Linked DNA regions of Drosophila melanogaster. The protein of the gene in region 1 purifies or fractionates together with the protein of each later gene. This does not show direct contact. Each region holds a gene or a part of one and is shown in the gene's direction. Other genes may lie near its edges.

What was found.
Region 2: the proteins of Paics (region 1) and sigmar purify together in Drosophila melanogaster (affinity purification with mass spectrometry, with the first as the bait; one large-scale study listed by BioGRID). This does not show direct contact.

What each region holds. Positions count from the first base shown.
Region 1 is NC_004354.4:12,754,821-12,765,910, reverse strand, and holds Paics (PAICS bifunctional enzyme), read left to right. Parts: upstream 1-5,293; 5' UTR 5,294-5,537; coding exon 5,538-5,562; intron 5,563-5,995; coding exon 5,996-6,199; intron 6,200-6,303; coding exon 6,304-6,448; intron 6,449-6,875; coding exon 6,876-6,988; intron 6,989-7,056; coding exon 7,057-7,859; 3' UTR 7,860-8,151; downstream 8,152-11,090. Other genes in the region: pira (pirate), read left to right, coding at 2,568-4,613. UniProt on the Drosophila melanogaster protein: Bifunctional phosphoribosylaminoimidazole carboxylase and phosphoribosylaminoimidazole succinocarboxamide synthetase catalyzing two reactions of the de novo purine biosynthetic pathway.
Region 2 is NT_033778.4:23,695,384-23,707,014, reverse strand, and holds sigmar (salivary glands marred), read left to right. Parts: upstream 1-4,608; 5' UTR 4,609-4,904; intron 4,905-6,145; 5' UTR 6,146-6,150; coding exon 6,151-6,214; exon of another isoform or gene 6,215-6,424; coding exon 6,425-6,717; intron 6,718-6,774; coding exon 6,775-7,050; 3' UTR 7,051-8,066; downstream 8,067-11,631. Other genes in the region: Alg3 (ALG3, alpha-1,3- mannosyltransferase), read left to right, coding at 238-1,484; l(2)dtl (lethal-(2)-denticleless), read right to left, coding at 1,797-4,063, 4,338-4,380; mRpL43 (mitochondrial ribosomal protein L43), read right to left, coding at 8,086-8,420, 8,486-8,592, 8,655-8,791; CG30183 (uncharacterized protein), read left to right, coding at 9,340-9,348, 9,407-9,820, 9,874-10,573, 10,750-11,631. UniProt on the Drosophila melanogaster protein: Important for modulating JNK signaling, cytoskeletal remodeling and autophagy in larval salivary glands.

The sequences.
Region 1 (11,090 bases):
TGTCAAAAAATTTACTTATTATTTACTATTTTGCAAACTGGGTCCATCAAGGGTTAATATTGTTGTTCCCTTACGAACACATCTGGCACAAAACAAAATAAGCAAAAAACGGTAAAAGGGGGTTGCGCCAAGAGAGCGTTCAAAAAGAGAGGGTGGCAGAGAGAACTACAGACACGCCAAGGATAATAGCAAAAGAAATCAACTTAAAGACACACAAAAACACATAGCACACACACACACACAAAAACACTCGAATTAAACATAAATAAATGCAATTTTCGCCAGCTCCGTTTTGTTGTGGACAAACCTTTACAATTAAATTAAACAATTCGAATTTAATACAATTGGCGGCTGCGTGTGGAATTCGCTTGACACACCAACAACAAATGAATGCTCACTTTCTTCGTTTCGGCTTTTGTTTGTTGTGGATTTTAATAAAAGCGACTACTTTTTATTTCGATCTATTTCGTATGCAGTTATTTCGATTCTTTTTCTTCTCTTTTATTTTTATTTTCTGCTGCTGCGGCGACGACACAACGCCGACGTCGACGGCGACGCGAAAACGACGTTGCGCTGCGTTTGCTGAGAATTTCCGTTACCGGCGTTCGAGCGACTTTCGTGGCAACTAGCGGTACCGAAATATCGAAGCTAACATCGATGCATCGATGTTTTTATCGATTTTCCGAAACATCGATGTCTATTTTTTTTTTTCATCGCTATTCGAAGACTCAGAAAACGAATTTCTTCAAATTTAAATTTATTCAATTTCAGTTATTAGCATGCAATCTTAAAATTGTATATGCATTTTCAATTTGTAGTGGAGGCCAAAAAATTTCCGATCAATTGATTTCCGACAAACTTATGTTTATCAATACCAGTTTAAGATTATGCATCTGAAAATATATCTTATTTTTTTTAATTTTATTATATTAATATTTGTTTTATATTAAATTACAAAAAAATTAAATTTAATAATAAATAAATGTTCTTTCTTTTTCAACAAGTGTAAATAAAAATATTATAGTCTGCAAATATCGATAGACGGCTAATTGTTGGGTATCGATAGCGAGCGGTGTGTGCGTCCGCGCTGCATGGAGCTGGCATTGGGTTTGAGTCTCAGCTTTGGAACTAAAAAGCATGAACTAAAAACATCGTTTCGAGAATTAATTGAGAATTAAATATTAAAGTCCCGCGTATTTAAAAAAAAAATAAAGCTGTTAGTTAAATATGACATCTTCTCTGCGAACGGTTTGGTTAGAGCAAACAAAAAAGTTTATATGACTACAACGAAAAATTCAATTTAATAAAGAACTAACGGAAAACATAGCATAAGTTTTTCCCGAAAAATATGATGTACTCAGCTGGATATTTAAAAATAGAGCAGGCTTGTTGTATTATTTACATATGCATTTTCCACGTGCTTAAATGTTAAATATATTTTAAATAATATATATAATTAATATATGCATAAGAAAAAACAATTCGAATAAAAATATATTTTGCAAAATATATTACTGCAGCCAGCACAGATATGACACTATTTAGTAAAGTATATACAGTAGTAGTAATAGTAAATTTGTAAATGTAAAACAAAAGCCAGTTTCCAGTTGCTTCACATTTAAGGAATTCGACTTGGCAAACTTTCTGACAGCTAACAACGTTGTGATTTAGATGCGTTTTTCCGCACTTGGCAACCGATGCAAATTGCGAAATGGAGCCCTTTGGCCCGCGGAAAGGAAAACGTGTGTGTGTCTGTCAGTTGTTTTTTTTTTTTTTTTATAAATACGCTCTTGGCAAAAAACAAAAAAACAATAATATTTTTGTTTACATTTGATTTTCTTATCGCCGCCAAGCGATCCATGTGGTGAGAGGAGCTCAATGCTGACGACTAAAAATCGGACAGGTGGACCCGATGACGGACGCACAACTATAATTTGATTAATGTCTGTACTTGTATTTGCAAAATGTTGAAATTAAAACGAGAATAAATTTTTGGTTTTTAAAAATTCCCATACAAAGAACTTGCAACAAACGGCTGAACTTATAACTTTGTAAATACCACATGTAAGAATACTAATACTTGTAAATGAAAAGCAAAGAACTTAGCTTAGCTAAGATTCGCTTAAATGCCTATATTTCGTCAGTTCAAATATTATTTAATTTCAATATTCGCAACATTCAAATTTCAAAGCGGACTATCGATACATATTTTTAAAAACACCCCACAAAATCCATACCAATTGGAAACATATACATATGTATCGATATGAGCAGCAAAACTCCGATGGCGATAGCAACTCGCACAGATGATTTTTGGATACAGCACTTGGGACGCCGTTTACCCCAACAATAAAAATAGACAGATATCAAATATCGCATAAAACACACAGATTGGAAAATGAAAGGAATATAGTGATCAAAGTCACCGTGTTAGGTGACTCTTCAACCATCCAGTTAACTTTGCACATCAAGCAGCCCGAGAATTTGCAATCGAAACGAGAAACTTCAGTTCAGTCAGATCAGCCCATATAACGTACATATGTTATACTATTGAATCCGGCTCCAAAATGGATCGCAAAGAAACTGTTTCGAAGGACCAAGCGGTACGTCGAATTGCCCATAATGACTTTATATTAGTCTCACGTCAATTGCTGATCAATCGAGCCGACACGGATCCGGACAAAGGAAGTGCCAGGATGTTGATTATCTACAGCAGTGGAAAGCAGCACATCGTCACCTTCAAGCTGCCGAATCTTGCGTGTAGGGTGCAGGATCTGTTTTTCCAAATGGACCTTCAGATCGATGAGAGCACCACGATTGATTGCATTGAGAATGCCGGCGGTATTATCCATTTGGTTGTCTCTGTGGGCTTCCCCATCAGTGATAACATTGCCGAGACGGTTGCCCATGCGGAGGAGTTCTATAGGAAGGTGCATCAGTCAAAGGCATCATCGGCTGATGCCGCTCCACCCAATGCGATGGCCGGTGAAGAGCACTCCCCTGCGGTTGTCAAACCATCAGAGACTGCGGTGGCCAACAATGGTTGCCAGCCAGCTGCAAGTGCAACCAAAGGCAAGAAGCACAAGAAAAGTCCTTGCGGGAGTCCGGGAGAAAACAATGATGGCCAAGTGATATTGTCGGCGGATCAAGACGCCAATACTAATACCAAGGCCAAGAAACAGAAGAAGTGCCATATTGCAAAGGATAACAATGGAATTCAAGCTGCTAGTTCTCATGACAACCCTAGTTCATCTGGCAATAAACAGGGAAGTCACAACTCCACGGCTATAACCTCCAATTCTACAATGACGAGTAATGGTCTTCGGGGCGTGCAACCAGCTGAAGATGCTCCCGCAATCTCCCAGTGGATCCAGTCGAGGAACAATGCCGCTGTTAGCAAGAAATCGGAAGAGACAGCTGGTGGATCTCAATCGCGGGTGCAATCGAATGTTGCATCCATATCCTCGCCAGCGGTGAAAGCAACTAGCGACGCTGCTATACCCACACCAGCAGAACGCGCAGAGCGTAGTCGCCTGCGCCGAAATCGCAATTGGATACTAAGCAGGGACGTTGATGAAGATGCCGTGGTGCTGGTGAGCAGCGGTGATGAGGAGACCACCGCCGCCGATGATGGCCAAACCGAGAGAAGACTTTCACCCGATGAGAATCAAACCCTTTTCACATATCCGCCAACTGGTACCGGTGGCCTGAGCATCACCATCAAGGACTTTATGTGTCTCAGTAAAGGATCGTATCTGAACGATATAATCATTGATTTTTATCTGCGCTGGCTAAAGAATAACATCATACCAGAGGAACAGCGCGATAGGACGCATATCTTTAGCACGTTTTTCCACAAAAGATTGACCACACGAACGAATCCCAGAAATACGAAGCAGACGGCGGCCCAGAAGCGTCACGAAAGGGTTGAGAAGTGGACACGAAACGTCAATATATTCGACAAGGACTTCATTATAATACCATTCAATGAGCAGTCCCATTGGATACTGGCCATTATATGTTATCCAAACCTTAGAAGCCCGGTGGTAAACAATAATAATGTGCAGACGACACTCAGTGATGATATTCCCATCAAACAGCCGTTGATACTTATTTTCGATTCGTTGGCAGTCACCTCAAGACATCGAGCGATTGCCATATTGCGGGATTATCTCACCTGTGAGCACAAGGCCAAGTATCCGAATGCGCTGGCGCATGTCTTTAACAAGGATAATATGCCCGGTCATAGTGTGGAGGTGCCGCAACAGCAGAATCTTACAGATTGCGGCCTCTATCTGCTGCAATATGTGGAGCAATTCTTCACAAAACCCATCAACGACTATACACTGCCCATTAAGGAGCTGAGCAATTGGTTTGACCTGCTCACAGTAACCAAGAAGCGTGAGGATATCGCTAATCTCATCAAGAAGCTTATGAATGAAAGCAATCAGCAGCGCAAAATTTTGCCGGTCATTAAGTTTCCGACATTAAATGGCCAACTGGTGATGGATGAGGAGGATAGCGAGGAGGAGAATTCTAAAGAGGAGCATAAAACTACGTTGGTTTGTTCAAAAGACAGAAAACCGCCGAGGAGAAGGAATACACTCAAATAAACCACTTGTGAGAGAAGTGAAAATACATATATTTTCTACAAAACAACTGAACTGAAGACGATCGCAACGCAATGCTTTGGAACACTAGGAGGAGCAAATTGACACGGCGGAGATGGGTTCACCAGAAATATACGTTTTTTCCCTCAAGGAAAAGTTTCATACACACATACAATCACCAAAAAGAGCAGTTCAGCCAACAAGACGATAAAGAGGCTACCTACTGGAGAGATAGAGACAGAGACAAAGACAGAGATCAGGATCACAGGATGAGCATGTTAGGCAGGACGAGGTGGATGTCAGGAGTTGGAGAATGGACAAAAATCAAGAAAAATTCAAAATTCAGAAAGTCACCAAATGAATAGAAAATATTTTAGAAACAAAATTTGTAAATAAAATGCGACAATAAAATTTGTCACGCATAAGCAAAGCTTTATAGATTGCCAAAAAATGTACATATGTATGTATGTACATAAGTACATAAGTTGCCCCGCGCGGTGTTCATCGGCCATTTGGGAAACTGCAGGGTATTACCAATCAGCATTATACTCGACTCTAAGCCCACACACACACCCACACGCAAGCACACACACGCGAGCGCAAACACATGGATCTCTTTGCATTGGTGTTGGGGTTCGGCGATAAGAAAATCGAGCCATAAAGTCGCGCCGGCGATTCTATAGACGCTCAGTTGCTTTGGAGCGATTCTTTGATGCAGACGAACATCGGAGTTTGCGGATTGTAATAATAGAGCCAAGCGGAGAGAGCGAAAAAGACAGAGAGAGAGATAGAGAGCGAGAGCGAGAGGGAAGGCACCAGCGAATATCGAGCATAAAGCAAAGCCCGCAACACGTGAAACAGCCAGCAGCCAATTGATTTCAATTTCGATTCTTAAAGTGAAGTGACCAACAACGTGCGATTAACGAGATGTCCACCACCACAACAGCATCCAGTAAGTTTATCCATCGCCAAGGTTTCCAAATAAACAATTGTTGTGCCTAGAACGTAAATAGTACCAAAGCTACCATCTTTTATTCGATCTTTCATCAATAAAAGACAAGCTTAATGTGATGGAAAGCAAGACAGTTGTTTATGTTTTCCCGCCAGCCTTGGATTTATTTAAACAGTTATTCGGGTTACTCAAAAAAATAAAACAACGGAATATTTTCCTGGTTCTGATAATATTTTAATGCTGTTTATTGAGCTGTCTGCTGTAAACAAGAAGGCTGGCTTTCCATTGTTTAAATCAAGATAATTGTGGATTTCGTAAACAAGTTGTCTTTCCATTCCTTAAATCAGTATCATCATATATCATATAGCATCGATTCTAAATACTAACTAAACACCGAACGTAACGAATGCAACTGCAACTTGAATTTCCACAGTAGAGGGCTATAAGCTCGGCAAGGTCATCATCGAGGGCAAAACCAAACAGGTGTACGATCTGCCAGAGCAGCCAGGACTTTGCCTGCTCCTCAGCAAGGATCGCATCACCGCCGGCGATGGTGTCAAAGCACATGATCTGGCCGGCAAGGCGGAGATCTCCAATACCACCAACGGTCAGGTCTTCCGGCTGCTCAACGAGGCAGGTGAGTTGCTAAACCATATAAGTCAAATCAACTATAATGCATTTTAGTCAATTTCTAACCAAATTGATCAATTAATTAATTAATTAATGCTTCTTATTCGACAGGCATTCGCACCGCCTATGTGAAGCAGTGCGGCGCCAAGGCCTTCATCGCCCGCAAGTGCCAGATGATACCCATTGAGTGGGTGACCCGTCGCCTGGCCACCGGTTCGTTCCTCAAGCGCAATGTCGGCGTGCCCGAGGGCTACAGGTTGGTAAACAGCCAATGGCTGGCTGTGGGTTATCACCCCATTCGATTTGTTGCGATCTGTGTGTTATCTGTGTCCGCTTGCGGTAAACAAATTCAAATGCAATCGATGCACTGCAGCAGGGTCAACAATCGCTGATAAGATTGATCGTTTGTGAACTCAAAGCCCACGAAATCTGTAATTCAAGTCAAGATTTTCGCCAGGGCAATGCTGCTGAGATGCTATGTGTAAATTCGTTTCATTTGATGTCGTCATACCAAGGCAATAGCTCTTTTTTATGGCTTTGATTGCCAACAAGTTCGCCTCTTTGAGTTACTGTAGAATATATATTATACTAGAAGTAATACAAATGTCACTTGATATTTAATTTATTCATCTATTTGCCTCAATTTGCTGCCTTATTACTACAATTACATTTGCATTGCGCAGGTTCTCGCCGCCCAAACAGGAGACGTTCTTCAAGGATGATGCCAACCACGATCCCCAGTGGAGCGAGGAGCAAATTGTCTCCGCCAAGTTCGAGCTAAATGGCCTGGTGATCGGTGGGTACTTGCGGCATAAAGCACTTTTACATATACAAATCTAAAACTGGCAACATGTTTTTCTTTAGGCCAAGATGAGGTGGACATTATGCGTAGAACCACACTGCTGGTCTTCGAGATTCTCGAGAGGGCATGGCAGACCAAGAATTGCGCCCTGATCGACATGAAAGTGGAGTTCGGTATCTGCGACGATGGCAACATAGTTCTGGCCGATATCATTGATTCCGATTCGTGGCGCTTGTGGCCAGCGGGTGACAAGCGTTTGATGGTCGACAAGCAGGTGTATCGCAATCTGGCATCGGTGACGGCCAGCGATTTGGATACCGTAAAGAGGAACTTCATTTGGGTGGCCGAACAACTGGCTGATATTGTGCCCAAGAAGGATCACCTGGTTGTCATTCTGATGGGCAGTGCTTCCGATATATCGCACAGCGAGAAGATAGCCACCAGCTGTCGATCCCTCGGCCTTAATGTGGAACTTCGCGTGAGTTCGGCCCACAAGGGACCGGAGGAAACGTTGCGCATTGTCCGCGAATATGAATCGGTGATGAGCAACTTGATCTTTGTGGCCGTCGCCGGGCGATCCAATGGACTGGGTCCAGTCGTTTCCGGCAGCACCAACTATCCGGTAATCAATTGTCCGCCCGTCAAATCGGACAACATGCAGGTGGACGTGTGGTCCAGCTTGAATCTGCCATCGGGGCTGGGCTGTGCCACAGTTCTCTATCCAGAGGCAGCTGCTCTGCATGCGGCCACCATTCTGGGGCTGGGCAACTTCATGGTCTGGTCGAAATTGCGTGTCAAGGCGCTCAACAACTTTATCACTCTCAAGAAGGCCGACAAGGAGTTGCGCGGCGTGCGAAATGCTTAGTTGCTGGTTATCATAGCTTATGGTGGGAGATATCAGCATTGGATATCAACCAGGAGGCCATATATAGAGAATCCTTCCCTGATCATTGCCGTTCGGCGATCATCCAGGGATCCCATAAAGGTCATCATCAGATCACATACTTTGTTAATTCTTCTTTCTCCTATTTTTTTTTTTTTGAAACCAAACATTTTTTTATTAGTATTAGGAAAGCATGACTTCAACTTGTTGTACCACGTTCTTGACAGGTTACGAACTCGAAATAACAAAAAATAAAAATTACATTTTAAATGTTACGCACTTTGAGCTGAATTTTTTATAAATATAAAAGAAATATAGCATGGATTACACGTAAATGTGATTGAATGTTTCTCCATTTTTGGAGTAAAAACATTCCCTTTCTTGGACGCAACTTTAAAAATAATTGTCTGAGTATGGAATGCCATATCTCGTCGAGCTCGTAATTAAATTTCCAATTCAACTGTGTCCAAAAATTGTATTTCTATTTTTTTGCCATTTTTTGTAAATTTACCTTACCAAAATATGCAAAAATTGGTCAAAAAATAAATTTTTCTAAATCCTTGAAAAGGTGATAGGGATTGTTAGCATTGGTAATTAGCTGCTCAAAACAGTTATTCTTTTGACTTTGTGTTGATTTTGAGCAACGTTTAGAAGAAATCTGCATTCGTTCCCTAGCCAATTTTTAAATTGATTTAGTTTGAATTTAGAACCGACAATAAGTTTTTTTTTGTTTATTTTTGCCAATTTTTAGTTCAAACTAATTAGTAGCATACTTTTGGGCTGAGACGATGACGATTTGAATGACTAAACTGTTGCACTTTTTAAACGTGATTCTTGGCTCTATTAAACAAAACAAAAAACGGGAATTAGCCATGTGTATAGTTTATATATTAAAATAGCATCTAGAATGCTAAAAAAAATGTATTAAAAACCACGTTTGGAGAAAAGAGAAATTGTAGATAAATTTCCAAAAAATGTAAATAAAAGAGTTATTTATCAAATGTAAACCAATGAACTTTATTTTCATTTTAAATATAGCTATGTTTAGCTTAATTGTCTTGAAAAATTTACATTAATAAAACTAGGTATATATATTAAATATAGTAATATATGTACATAATTGATAAAGGCCAATTTAGTTATGCAAATTAAACTGCTAATAGCAGTAAACTACTAATGATGTTGAACCTACAATACATGTATGTACATATGTATATATATGCCCCTTGGGAAAATCATATGGATACCTTGTGGTAGAGGGGATTGGGAGGCGTGGAGACGGGGAGACGGGGAGTACTGAGACCGGGAAAATATGTGCTAAAGTGCGCCGGCCACCGCAGGTCAATTAATCATACTTTAGTGTTTAGCAGACAACACCACAAAAATACAAACACAAGCACAAGCACAAACACAAACAACGAAGCACAATTCATAATAATAACAATAATTTAGCATAAGAGAAGCGGGACGGGTGAAGGGTGCGAGTGAGACGGCGAATGTACACATTAAAAGTCAGGGTCAAAGTGTGGCCATTGTGTTTTGCCTCTCCCTCTGGCGCACCAACCGAAACACCACCCCCCGCCGCCTGCCACACCCCGCTCACAAGTGTCTGCTGTTGTTGGAAACAACAATAAGCAATAAGAAATATGAATGGCAAAGCAAATGTAACAAAATGTTGAGAAAACTAAGGAAAACACAAAAAAGACAAGAGCTTGGTTCATAAGAAAATACCCTGCCATTTTAGCTTTTGGGATATTGCGTTTCAGAAATTCAGATATAGTCAAACTGAATTAACATTAATATTAATAAGTATATATCTTAATATACATATTTAAAGTTTTTAAGCGAAGCGAGCAACTAGTGTATACAGTAGATAATTATAAAAAAAAGTTTTTAGATACAAAAACTTGCCTAAAAACGCTTGTTTAGAGCTAAGAAAACGAAAAATTATCAAAATAGAATAACTTCTTTTATAAAACATAAAGCTAGCAAAAAATTACTTACGCGGGAACCTCGACCTAACCTCAATTTGAGTGCCAGCACTAAGAGGTTCAGTTCTTTAAACTATGCAGGTTGAACCCGCGTCCATATTCGAGCATGCCCTTTTCTTTTGGGGCTAAAATGTGAGTGACTGCGACGTTGGGGTCCCAGCTACAACAAAACAACTGCAAATACAACGACAACAATGGCCGGCAATTGTTTTGCGGCGTCGCCTCTGCCGCTGCCGCTGCCTCTGTTGCTGCTTTGCCGACGTCAATGACGCAGCGCTATGTTTGCGGTGGCTATTGCTATTGTGGCATCCGTCTACGCCACCCCCCTCTCAACCAATTCCACATCGACCGCAAGGGGTTTCTTTGTTGTACATATTTCTTGTTTCTGTTTGCCGATTCGGTTTTCTTCTTTCTTTCTTTTTGTTTTTGCGAATAAAAACTGTTTTGTTACAAGCGCGAATGCCGATCGCAGTCGATCGCTCTACACGTTTTCATTATAATTTTACTGTTTCACATCTCGCTCCCACCCGCTGCCATCTCCCTCGCACTCTGCCGGCTACAGGCCACATTCATTAATTTCAATTTGCAATATTTTCTTTAATATGCATATTCTATATTTCAAACGATATTGAACCGATGCCCAAAAGAGGACCATTCAGTTTCCAAAAATAAACATTCTTCAACATTTAAATAAACATTTAAAGTCGAACAATATACATACATATGTAAGTTCGATTTTGCGAGGCCCCACTGTACCCATTTGGCGAGGCAACTCTTTCAACTTGTTGCTAAAAATATGCAAGACAGTAAAAGGAAACCGGTTCCCCCCCCCCTTCCGAACCATACACACGCACATGTACGTACTTTATGTATGTGTGGATATGGCTATATGTATATATGTGTGTACATATAACTGGTTGTTGCTGGGTGCCGAGCCACTGACCGAAGTGTTGGTTGCGGGGGGAGGGAGCGAGGGTTTTGCTACGGGGTGCTGTGCGGTGGAACTGGAACTGTGACTTGATTATTCAGTCGGCACAAGAAACAAGCCGATCGGTGCACACACAAAGACCAGAGTAAAATGGCAAAAACAACATTGTTAACCAACTACATGCAAAACACCAACACGTAATACAAGATCGTAAAGCGGTTTCTACATACATACATACATACATACATACATACATATGTATGTAATATGGGTACAGTGGGGCCTCGCAAAATC
Region 2 (11,631 bases), on another chromosome or scaffold:
GGCGTGAAAGCGAATGAAATATCGTTATATACCGTTAAAGTTAAAAAAGCCGTATATTAAATAAGTTAACTAAAGTTTTGCCTTTAAAATAAATATGAAGTGTAACTCAATGGATATAATAGTTTTCCCAGGCCCAAACAGACTGAAATAACTGCTTAGTGAATGAAAACAATGACTAATTGCATTCCTTCTATCTAATTTATGATAATTGAAATTCTTCGATTTTCGATTTCCTAGGCGACACAGGACCTCTTGTGTATCCAGCCGCCTTCGTGTACATCTACTCGGCTCTCTACTACGTCACGTCCCACGGAACGAACGTTCGCCTGGCGCAGTACATCTTCGCCGGGATCTACCTGCTCCAGCTGGCCCTGGTGCTGAGGCTGTACTCGAAGAGCAGAAAGGTGCCGCCGTATGTGCTAGTGCTCAGTGCCTTCACGTCGTATCGGATCCACTCGATATACGTGCTGCGACTGTTCAACGATCCGGTGGCAGTGCTGCTCCTCTATGCCGCACTCAATTTGTTCCTGGACAGAAGGTGGACCCTGGGTAGCACCTTCTTCAGCTTGGCGGTGGGCGTTAAGATGAACATCCTGCTGTTTGCGCCTGCGCTCTTGCTGTTCTACTTGGCCAACCTGGGACTTCTGCGGACGATCCTGCAGCTGGCTGTCTGCGGAGTGATACAACTGCTGCTGGGCGCTCCTTTCCTGCTCACCCATCCTGTGGAGTATCTGCGGGGCAGCTTTGATTTGGGACGCATCTTCGAGCACAAGTGGACGGTCAACTATCGCTTCCTGAGCAGAGATCTGTTCGAGAACCGCACCTTCCACGTTTCGCTTTTGGGCCTGCATCTGCTGCTCCTGCTGGCCTTCGCCAAGCCCACTTGGACCTTTTTCCAGAGCTACGTGCGCCTGCGCCGTATTGAGGATCAGCTGCAGCCGCAAATAGCCCAGCAGAACCTCGAGCTGAACGCGCAGAAAAGACCAAAGAAAGTGGAAAAGGACAAGGACAAGGACCAGAAGAAGTTTACAACCGAGCAGCAATCCTTCCTGAAGGCCTTCGAGAAGAGCCTGCAGAAGGCGTCTGGAGGAAAGGCCACTCCGGCACCCGCACAGGCGGAACCGGAACGCTATGGCATCCACTTCGATCGCTGCACCCAGCTGGCCCTGCTGCCGTTCTTCCTGTGCAACCTGGTGGGCGTGGCCTGCTCCCGATCCTTGCACTATCAGTTCTACGTCTGGTACTTCCACTCGCTACCCTATTTGGCCTGGTCGACGCCGTACTCGCTGGGCGTGCGCTGCCTGATCCTCGGACTGATTGAGTACTGCTGGAACACCTATCCCAGTACGAACTTCTCCAGCGCTGCCCTTCACTTCACCCACATCATACTGCTCGCTGGGGTGGCCAAGCAGCTTGTCCAGACCATGCGGATTAATAATGCGGCCAAGAGGGAGCAGCAGGAGCAACAGAAAAAGCTGCAGTAAAATGGTCTGAGTGCCACTTGTTAGCCATGAGTGCCACATATAAACCGTTTTGATTATGCCAAAAAAAAAATTGAATAAACAGTACATTAAACGAGTTAGTTTTTAGAGAATCAATCAAGGCAGCTTTAAAATGGAGTTACTTTTATTCGGGTACGTTAGTCTTTCGTATCTTTTGGCTCTGTACAGAGGGCGGGGAGTTGGTTACCAACTCGTCCCGCGATAGATGCAACCTACTATCTACATAAAATAACTTAAACAATGTCCGCTTAAAACTACAAGTGCAATAATGGTGCTGTGGCTCGAGGCTCCGCGTCAATCGCTGCCCACCGCCGTCGTGGGCGTGCGCATGCTGAGGGGCGTGGCTGCGGGCGCAGTCACTGCCGGGGGATGGGGATCAGAAGAGGAGGGAGCCGCATTCGTTGTCGTTGTTTCCTCCGCCGGCACACTGCTACTTCTCTGAATGCTAAAGAATCGCAGGAGCGTCGTCTCGCTGTTTCGCCTACTGGAAGTGGGCGTTTTTGGCTGGGATTGGGAATGGGAGTGCGAGGAGCTGCCAGCCGGCGTGCCACCGCCTCCGTCCGTATGGGAGATGCGTCTGCGGGGCGAGGCGTGTATCCTGGGACTGCACTCTGACTGCCGCAGACTCTGGAGGCGCGGGGATGCCAGCACATCGGCCTGCTGCTCCTCGCTGATCTTTTCGCTGAGCGTCACATGGGCCCTGCCACTCATCAGCTTCTGTTTGCGGATATTCGTCAGCCAGTCCACCTTCTCCTTCGCCTTCCGCTTGGGCGACATGATGCCCAGGTGCGGTGCCTCGCCATCCAGCACGTAATTGGGCAGGTTGGAGGTGGGCGAGTAGATGGCAGCGGAGATCGGCGGCGGATTAAGCGCGTCTGCAGCCACCGCTGCTGCTGCCGCTGACGTGGTTGGCGGGGAGGTGTACACATGGTTGACATTCTCACTCAAAGGGGAATGACTTGGTGTGCTGAGAAGCTTGTGCAGTGGTGAGACATCCTCCGCGGCAGAGTTCTCCTTTTGTCTCTTGCTCGGCGAGGCATCTTCCTCGTTTATGGACTGAAGTTGTATGTGCCTGCAAGCAGTTTCCTGGCTAGAAGGTCCAAAGAGCCGCCTTCCACGTGACTCCAGTGGCTTCGCCCGTTTCTGGGGCTGTTCTGTGGCTTCCGTCTCCTGGCCAGCTACGCCCAGCATTTCCAGGAACGAACGCTTGGTCGTCGTCTTTTCCACGGAACCTGGCGTCCTTTCATTTTGATCCATAAGGCGCTTCAGAGATCTTGGCGTGGACTCCAGATCTCGAAGATTGTACTTGTGATTTCCACTAGACGGACCAAATGCCTTCTTGCCGAACTCCCTGACGTAGGAGGCAGTTCCTCGGTACTTTTCCGCCCGCTCCGCCTCGCTGAGGCCATCCAGGTCGGGTCCAATCCGCCAGATTTTGTGACGCGCATCATCGCTGCACGTGACAATGGGGCAATCGTGGCTGGAGCCCCAGGCCACGCAGGTTACCTCCACCGTGTGTCCGGCCAGTGCAACGAGCGGCTCCTCGGCGTGGTCCAGGTTCCAGATGTAAGCCCGCTCGTCGCTGCTTCCGCTCAGCAGATACTTGCCGTCCGGGCTGAGGCAGGATTTGATGTAGAACGTGGAGTTAAGGAGTCCCTTGTAGCACGCCAGCGGGCGCTGCGAGTAGGAGGCCAGATTGTAGCAATAGATGGTGTTGTCCATGCAGTTGGCATACAGCCTCGTGCCTGACGCGTCCACAATGAGGTTGGTGAATCCACGGAAGGTGGAGCTGCCGGCATATGGCAGCTTGTGCCTGGGCAGTGGCTCCTTTTTGTAGGCTGTGTAGTTGCGCCGCAGGTCCCACACCTTGATGACTCCGTCACCGGCACCACAGGAGATCAACGTATCGTTGTCCTGGAAGGCCAAGCCAGTGATGCTGCTCGAGGTGGTTCCTCCGGCCATCTTGGGAGTGCGTGTGCGCTGCTTGCGCTGTGAGACTGGCGTGCCCGGTCCGCCCGTGTGACCGCTGTAGATGCAGTTGTCCACGCGTGACGTGAGGTCCATATTGAGATTGGCCCTGATGTCCCAGATGAGAATGGCGCCATCACGGCCGCCGGTGGCGAAGACAGCGGGATCGGTGCGCTTAAAGGCCGCCGACTTGACGGACCTTGTGTGACCCACATAGGAGTTCAGGCCGCGTATGCCGGAGCCCGCCACCTCCCACAGTCTGGCAGTGTGATCGCCCGAGGCGGAGACGAAGCGCATCTGGCCGGGTGCCCATTCCAGATCGAAAACGGCGTTGAAGTGGCACTGCGGGCCCACCAGGGACTGCTCCTCCGGCTGGTGGTTGCGCTGGGTGGTGTCCTGCAGCGTGATCTTGCCGTCCTCGTTGGCGATCGCCAGGATGTGCCGATAGCCATCGCAGTTGGCGAACTTGGCGGAGAAGATCGGCGGTTCCGGATTGAAGTCTGGGCAGTAGTTGGCCGGCGCGATGCCCCGCCAGCTGTCCTCCTTGGCCACGGAAAGGCGGCGCAGGGCGAAGTCGTAGGTCCTCTCATTGCCTAAAAAGAAAAACGAAAACCAGAGGAGAAACCATGAAAATAGTGCCGTGGCTTTGTTTTCCACGGAACTTCTGCACGATCAGCAGTTTCCAGTGGAGCAACTAGTCGGGTTTCTTCACCCCTTAGGCAATGCTCTGTGGTCAGGTGGCCGTGCAGGATGCACATTGACCAGATGGCCAGGAAAACCCATTGAAACCTTTTAAAAATCAACACCTTTGATCGCAGGAAATTCGAGCGCCAAAAGTGAGATTCTCCCGCCAAGCGAAAGACTCACCGTAGCCATGCTCCCTGGCCCGCAACTTGTTGTAAATGTTCATTGTGCACTCCTCTTGGCGGCTGCTGCTCGTAATCTGCGTTTTCAACTTTATTTCCTGCTATTTCCTCTGAAATAAATCAACCTTCGAGGCATCGAAAATATTTTTCAACGACGCAGCTGGACTCTTGGGCAGTGTGACCGTGCTCAGATGGGAAGTAAACGCATTCTGTTGCGAAAGACTGGAGAACCGCCAAAAGTGAAAATAATACTAGCCACGGAAGATTGATTCGTTTCAGTCTAACATTTGGTTGCTACAAGCAGCTGGTCTCACAGGCTGATATTTTGTTTTTGTTGCTGTTCGCTGAGTTGTTTTATGTTTAATCGAAGTTGCGCATAAATTTAGCTGCAAATTGTACGCAGTTCGCGGGCTTTAATGCAGCCAACCCCTTTCAGTTGCTTTCGCTAGCACTTCGATTTGCGGACACTGGTCATCAAGCACACATTACACCCATACACACACATACTTGGACTCAAGGACTCAAGGATTCGATTCAAGGACTGCAGCAACAACAAAAACAAAAACAGGTGAGCGCCAAATTGGATTTCTATTCTGGTTTCAAGGGGGCGGGCATCACACACAGCCTGTTGCAATCAATAACACCCAGAAGGTAAAGAAACCCTCCTGCTGCGAAAACGGAACACGCAAATGCAGGACAAACAGGAAAGCCAGGAGAAGAATGGCCCAACGAACTCAAGTACTCTGTGGTTTCGGCTGTAGCGCACTTCCGCACTCCACTGGCGTCCTTGGGGGACCCACACTCCGTTCCTTTGAAGGGATAGGCCTTCTTTTATTGCACTTCGCGTGACCTTAGCCATTTGGAGCAGTCCGTGTCCTGACACGGTTCTATTGCCGGGCGTTATCTAACTGGAACTGGCATTCACTTAGTTAAATTAGCAACCAGGGATGCCCTGCTCCAGATTAGGCTTAGTCACGACTTCTAGTTAATACCTATGTGTGTCTGAACTCTGTTGACCCGCCAGCGGTTTCCTCCCCCCAGCACTCCGTCACCCAACTAGCTCTGATCGGGACTCCTTGTTTGGACAGTTGGAAGCACTGCCGCATTTCCATTTCGGGCTCCAGCACGTACGCCGCGCCGTTAGAACGACCTTATAGATACGGTCAGAGGGGCGCAGTTGGTCATCCATTATTAATACGGCAGCATTCCTATATCTGTGTGTGGAAAGCAGCAAAGTTGTGGAGCAGCGGAGCTCTAACTTTGACTGTACATTAAATTCCTTATATCAAATTTATTCGTTTTATGTTGTGTTTACGATGATAACCCAATTCGAATTCCCCAGAATGTCTTATTATCGTTAGATTCCTGTTTTGTTTGTTAAAAGCTTGTGACGAACACTCGATAAGAAATTATTCGTTACAAATAAAGTTGTGCGTACATTAATCGTTTTGTTTTGTTCTTTAAATAGAAATGTGACTTATGTTAGTTGATTCCATTTATTAGTCTAAACAGACTTCAGTCCTACAGGACTCTCCTCCAATGTTTCAGTTCCCAGCACTATAGGTAAAAGTAATTGCATTTGAGTGACTCATTGTAGTTAAACGTAGGCCACACAGACTGTTTTATTGCCCACTTCACGTAAAGCACAAAGAAACACAGAAGCACAGCGAAGAAAGAACCAGGTTTCCTTTATCTAAAGATACGGCGCTGATGTACATGGCCCAATCATTCATGTTTTTATATCTCTGTCTATAATTCCCTTATCAATGCTTGCAACTGGAATCGGTGTAATATATGTGTGATATATAGTCGCGATGTCGGTGGCCGGGCTTCGACAATGTCTGCTGCTGTGGAGCGTCGACTACTGGAACTTGGAAGGTAAACCGCGGAGAAGAGCGGAGCTGATTTGCTTTTCAGTTGCCACCATTCAGTGTTCAGTTTTAAGTTTTCCTTGGTTGCTGAGTTGTTGCTCCGTTTTGTTTGCTCGTACTGCTCGTATTTCTTTGCCACAATGCTTTAGTCAATGAATATGCAGCGATAATAATGTCTGAATCTGAATTCCAATCCCACCCCTCCCATCCGCTTTAGTCATGGCGGACAATGTCTTCAAGTCGCACGATATCGGGCTGCGGGCGCAGAAGAAGATCCTCTCACGCATGGCCACAAAAAACATCGCCAAGACCTTCATCGATGGCACGACGGCGTCGCTGCTGGACAACCTCTACAGGCTCTGCAAGATGCACACGGGGAACAAGGCCAAGGCGGAGAAGCTGATCAAGAACATCATCAAGATTGTGATCAAGATCGGTGTGCTCCACCGGAACAATCAGTTCAGCGACGAGGAGCTGCAGAAGGCGGAGCTCTTTAAGAGAAAGTTTCAAGTGAGTCTTAAATGCTACTCCTTAACTACATGTTATTATGATTTTTTTTTGTTGCAGAACACGCAGCTGTCCATCATATCATTCTACGAAGTGGACTTCACGTTCGACCTGCCGTACCTGCAAAAGTCAATAGCCGAATCGCAAGTGGCGCTGAAGTCGATTGTGCAGCCGCATCTCACAGAAAAGTCGCTGGGCCGCATCGACGAGGTGTTCGATTTCTTCGGCGAGGAGGCGCTGCTGGAGACGGCTTTCCGACCAGATTCCCCCTACCGCGAGGTGATGGGAAAGATTGTGGCGGACATAAACGCAGCCATGGAAACGGGAGATATCTGAGGAGATTCGCAAAGCGAGCTGAGCTGCAATTGCGTGCTATGAACGAAAGGCTATATATCGAAACCAAAAAGCAGCCAGTAGCTAGTTGCGAATGGAAAACGCTTGCTTAAAGCTCACCCACCAACACCACCACCACCACCATCACCACCAAAATACAAAATCTAGGTATAAATATGGGCCAGCAGCGGCAGAGATGAAGCAGAGCTGGGAAAGAATGGAAAAAAGACATGGGTTTAAGGAGAAGTTTAATTTAGTTCAACTAGTGATATAACATTGACAACAATATCAAAAGTGTAAAGACGTCCGTATTGATTATTTTGATGACAACGTTAACATTCGTGTACTCAAGGTCTATGTAGTAATAATTAGGAAGAACCAAATGCATTTCGCCAAAGGAATTCACTAAACGGAAATTGTAAACTCGAGCAAAATGCTTTTATCGGTGTGTAAGTTGATCGTTGATCGTACGTGTGAAAGTAACTATATGTACAATAGTTTTAAGTGTTAGATGGAAAATACTTCGGCACATAAGCAATTACTTATTCGTGGTCTACTTTTTGATACTCCCAAACTCGCTGTGTGCACCCGCAAGTAACTATATCAACGTCTTAGTCAGACCTTTGCGTACTTAACCGATCGCCGCCGATCGGAGCCACCCATCTCACCTGCAGTCGTTAGTCGATGCTAAGTTGGTTATGCTAAGTCGTCACCAGAACCTGTTTCTATTTCTATTCGTATTTGTATTCGTATTCGTATTCGTATTCCAAGCCTCCAAGGGGTCGGTAACCTTAAGCATTATTTATGATACTCCCACAATGATATTCCAACTACCCGAAACATATCGAAACTATCTGAAAGGCAACATAGCTAAGGGGACAATAAGTTGTTTGCATTTTTCTATGACTTTTGGTTCGATATTCCAGCGATGGAGGCACAAGTTTAGTGGTTTAGATTTTAAATATTTATTTGTTTACCAACAAAACTATGTTGACTATAAAAATAAAAGCAACAATTACCAAAAAGTCCTAATCCCTATCACTCGGCCCGCTTTTTGTTCAGCACGTCGTGTGCTTCCTCGCCAGCTTCCAGTTGCTGTTGCCGGAACAACTCGATGAGCTTCTCGGTGGCAGTTTGCGGCGTATCCAGCGGCTTTGACGCCTCGGCACTGGGGTAAGCCTGGCCTTGGGCATCCGGCGAACGCAGCAGGAATGGCGTCCACGGGCCTTGGATGGAGGGCACTTCGGTATGCCACATTTTCCGGAGTCGCAGGGAGCTGGAGCTGCCGTTTTGAGTCTTTAGCAGGTCAATCCACTTGGAGATCTCCTCTTGGGTGCTGTTCCTGCAGCTCATCCATTCGCGCTCGCCGTTCACTGGAACAGGATGACATATTTAAAGTGTATTCTAGGGAGCATCCTTATACATTATGTATACGTACAGTACTCTCCCACCAAAACTGGCGTGCGGTGGCGCCTGGGCTTCACATAGACCACAATCCCGGGATTCTCTTTGGCAAAGTCCAGCAAGTGATTCTCAATGAAGTCGCTATTGAACGTTTCGTATGATTAATTTTACTTTATATGTAAACATTTAAGGATTTTGCTTACCGCATGCCTCTGCTGGATCCATTATTCTTGCAGAACTTCAGGGTGATCCGCTGGAGCTGACAAACATAGCGTCCCAATCCATTTTGCAGGGGTGCACGGGGGAAGCCGGACTTCAAGAACAAGTGGCTGTTTGACATTCTGTATTTGTTTTTAATTCAAAACAATTTTTAACTATTTTTTACAATTCCAAATAAGAGACGACGTAATAGCATGCCGCAAACAGCTGATTCTCTCTGACCAGAGATGACGAGTTAGCTAGAAACATTATGTTTTATAGCTATAACCCCTATAACCCCAGCTTACATTGGAACATAATTAATCTCTAGCACATCCTCTTTTAAATATGAACCTATTCCGCGCTGAATTAAATAATAAATAGTAAAGCCCATTTGAACAATTGTATAAATAATAACAATTTCAAGCATATGAATATAGTGCTGCCTGAGTTATACCAGCCAATTGCCCAATCTCTGACGCAAGACAGGGCTGTTATGCACTCTCTCCTCTCTCTCTTTCGCTGATAAAGAAGAAGCGGCACAAAGCGGAAAACAAAAATGCAGGCGAGGCGTCGCTTTTCATTTGATTGGAAAAACACGAAGTAGAAGCGGAGTAGAAAGCGTGCAACGTGTAAAAGTGGAGCACATGCAGCTGGTCTAATCAGCTCCATAAATACATAGACTGCAAAATGGCCACCGTAAGCATTAAATCGCTATTTAATCACAAGTGCAAATGAACAGCATATTGGCCTCCAGACTTTTGTAGGCTCAAAGTTCTCCAAACATGTTCTAGTTGATGAAGAAGAGGGGGAGGAGGAGGAGGAGGATTCCGCCGAGTCTGGTTCCACATCGTCGTTCAGTTTGCAGGAGTGCATCGACGAGTTTAGGGCACGCCGCATTCGCCGTGTGTCCACTCAAAGTCGCGACTGCGAGACCAACAATAACCACATCAACATGTCCCGACAACTTCCCCGAGTCCGCAGAACCACGGATGCGGACCTAATCAACCAGAATCGCTGCAACAAGGAGCAGGAGCGCAAGGGGAAGCCGTGCCAGAACGGCTTCTGCTACTGCTTCACCAGCGACAGCGGAGACTGCGGCTCCACGGCACCGCCACGTGACCAGCACGTGCGACTACCAAGGCGCAGCAGGCGATCTGAGAGCGCCAAGGTAAGCCACTAACCAGCCCGCTACAGTTCCCTCATTAAACTCACATTTTACAGCCCGCCAAGCAGAACAATCTCGGTAGCCAGCGGCAGCAGGCGGAGAAACTTCGTCGAAGCGAGCCGGCCAGCATAAATTCTGGCTTGAAAACTCCCTTAACTGCTGTCAGTCGCTTGAGAGCCGTGGCCGGCGAGGATGAACCGCTTATACACATCATCCAGGAGCTGCACGACAACTGTGTGGTGTCCGAAGTGCGCGTGAACCGCCACAAACTGTCAGATTCTAGCTCCAGGTGCCGGCACAGGAGCACACAGAGAGAGCCTACTAAAATGCTTTCCTATGAGCCCATAGCCTATAAGCCCTCAGCTCCTGTTTTGTCTAACATCAGCGAACAGGAATCCGCTGTGGAGGAAGATCAGGAGAAAGAAGAGCTGGCCACCGAGCCGCCAAGTCGCAGGAGTTCCCGCTCTCGACGCAGTTCCGGAGCAGGTGGACGCCTGCTGCAGAAGCGCCTCTCGCAGGGTCAAGTCAGCTTCAAGGCACGGAACTCGCAGCTGCCGCCTCCGAAGCCGCCGCGTCGCAGCTCCCAAAGTCTGGACGGGAAGCTATCGCAATCCTCGCTCACCTCCACGAATCCTTCGGTGCGGGAGGCCGAGCGAGTGCTGGACGAGTTTCTGCGCAAACGTGGCGTTCAGGTGCCTACGAGCAAGCTGGAACCATCGCTCAAAAAAGACAGCAAGCGCAGATCGTTCCCCATGGGTAAGTTATACCCGTAAGCCCTAGAAAATGAAACCGTAACCAAATAGAAACTATTTTTACCAAAAATCAAATGTATTTACCAAATAAAGTGTTTTGTATCCAAACATTTGGCTTACGGTTTCATTAATTGGTTCCTTGGTTTTCGATGTTTTTACGAGCTTTGCGTCTTTCTTTAGCTGAGGTAGAGAAGCCCAGGCATCCCAGGAGCAACAAGCAACTGCCCACCTGCCCCTCGCTCAGTGACATTGAGCGCGTAGTGGAATCCAAGCGGGGCTCAAATTACGACCGGAATATTCGGCAGGAGAGTAGGCGGAAAGGAGCGCCCACCAAGGAGGTTATTCTTGGCTGGACAGAGCCCAAGATCACCGATATGCTCAACTACGAGGGCAAGACAGCCAGCGAGTTTAGGACACCGGCGGAACCGCAAGTAGCCATTGGATGGCAAATGCCTAAAGCACAGCCACAGCCCGTAGTGCCAAAGGTTTCCTTGGACACTGTTGACGGAAGTGTTTCCGAGAACCTGGCATCAAATATGGTGCACAAGGAGACGCCCATCAAGTATCCCAGTCGAGTTAACACGGCAGGAGGTCAGGCTAGCCAGAAGTTCATCTGGAGCGAGCAGTGGCGCAATCTATCTCCTTGGAAGGGTAACAAACCGAAGAACCTTGGAAAGAAGTCCAAGAACTTTCTGAACAACTCCAAAAAGAAGATCCTGCGCTTCGTCTCGCCGAAGAAGTCTAATCAGGAGGTGCACACGCAGCTGGATCAGCACAGATTCACTCCCCAGCAGTGCACCATTGGCGTACAGACATCTACCTCGCAGCTGGACCTGCAGTCACAGTCTCCGCCGGGAAGCTACCACTCCCCCATGCAGACCACGCCCTCGGGTACGACCACATCCACCCGCCAACAGCTGGACACAGAGCAGCCGTACTTCGATTTCGAACGCAAGGTGAAGGCACCGACGCCTCCGAAGAAGCTGCCCCGTGCAAACAGAGCCCGCAAGCTGGACTTTCAAGCAGCAGCAACATCACCCACCACCTATCGCTCGTATCACA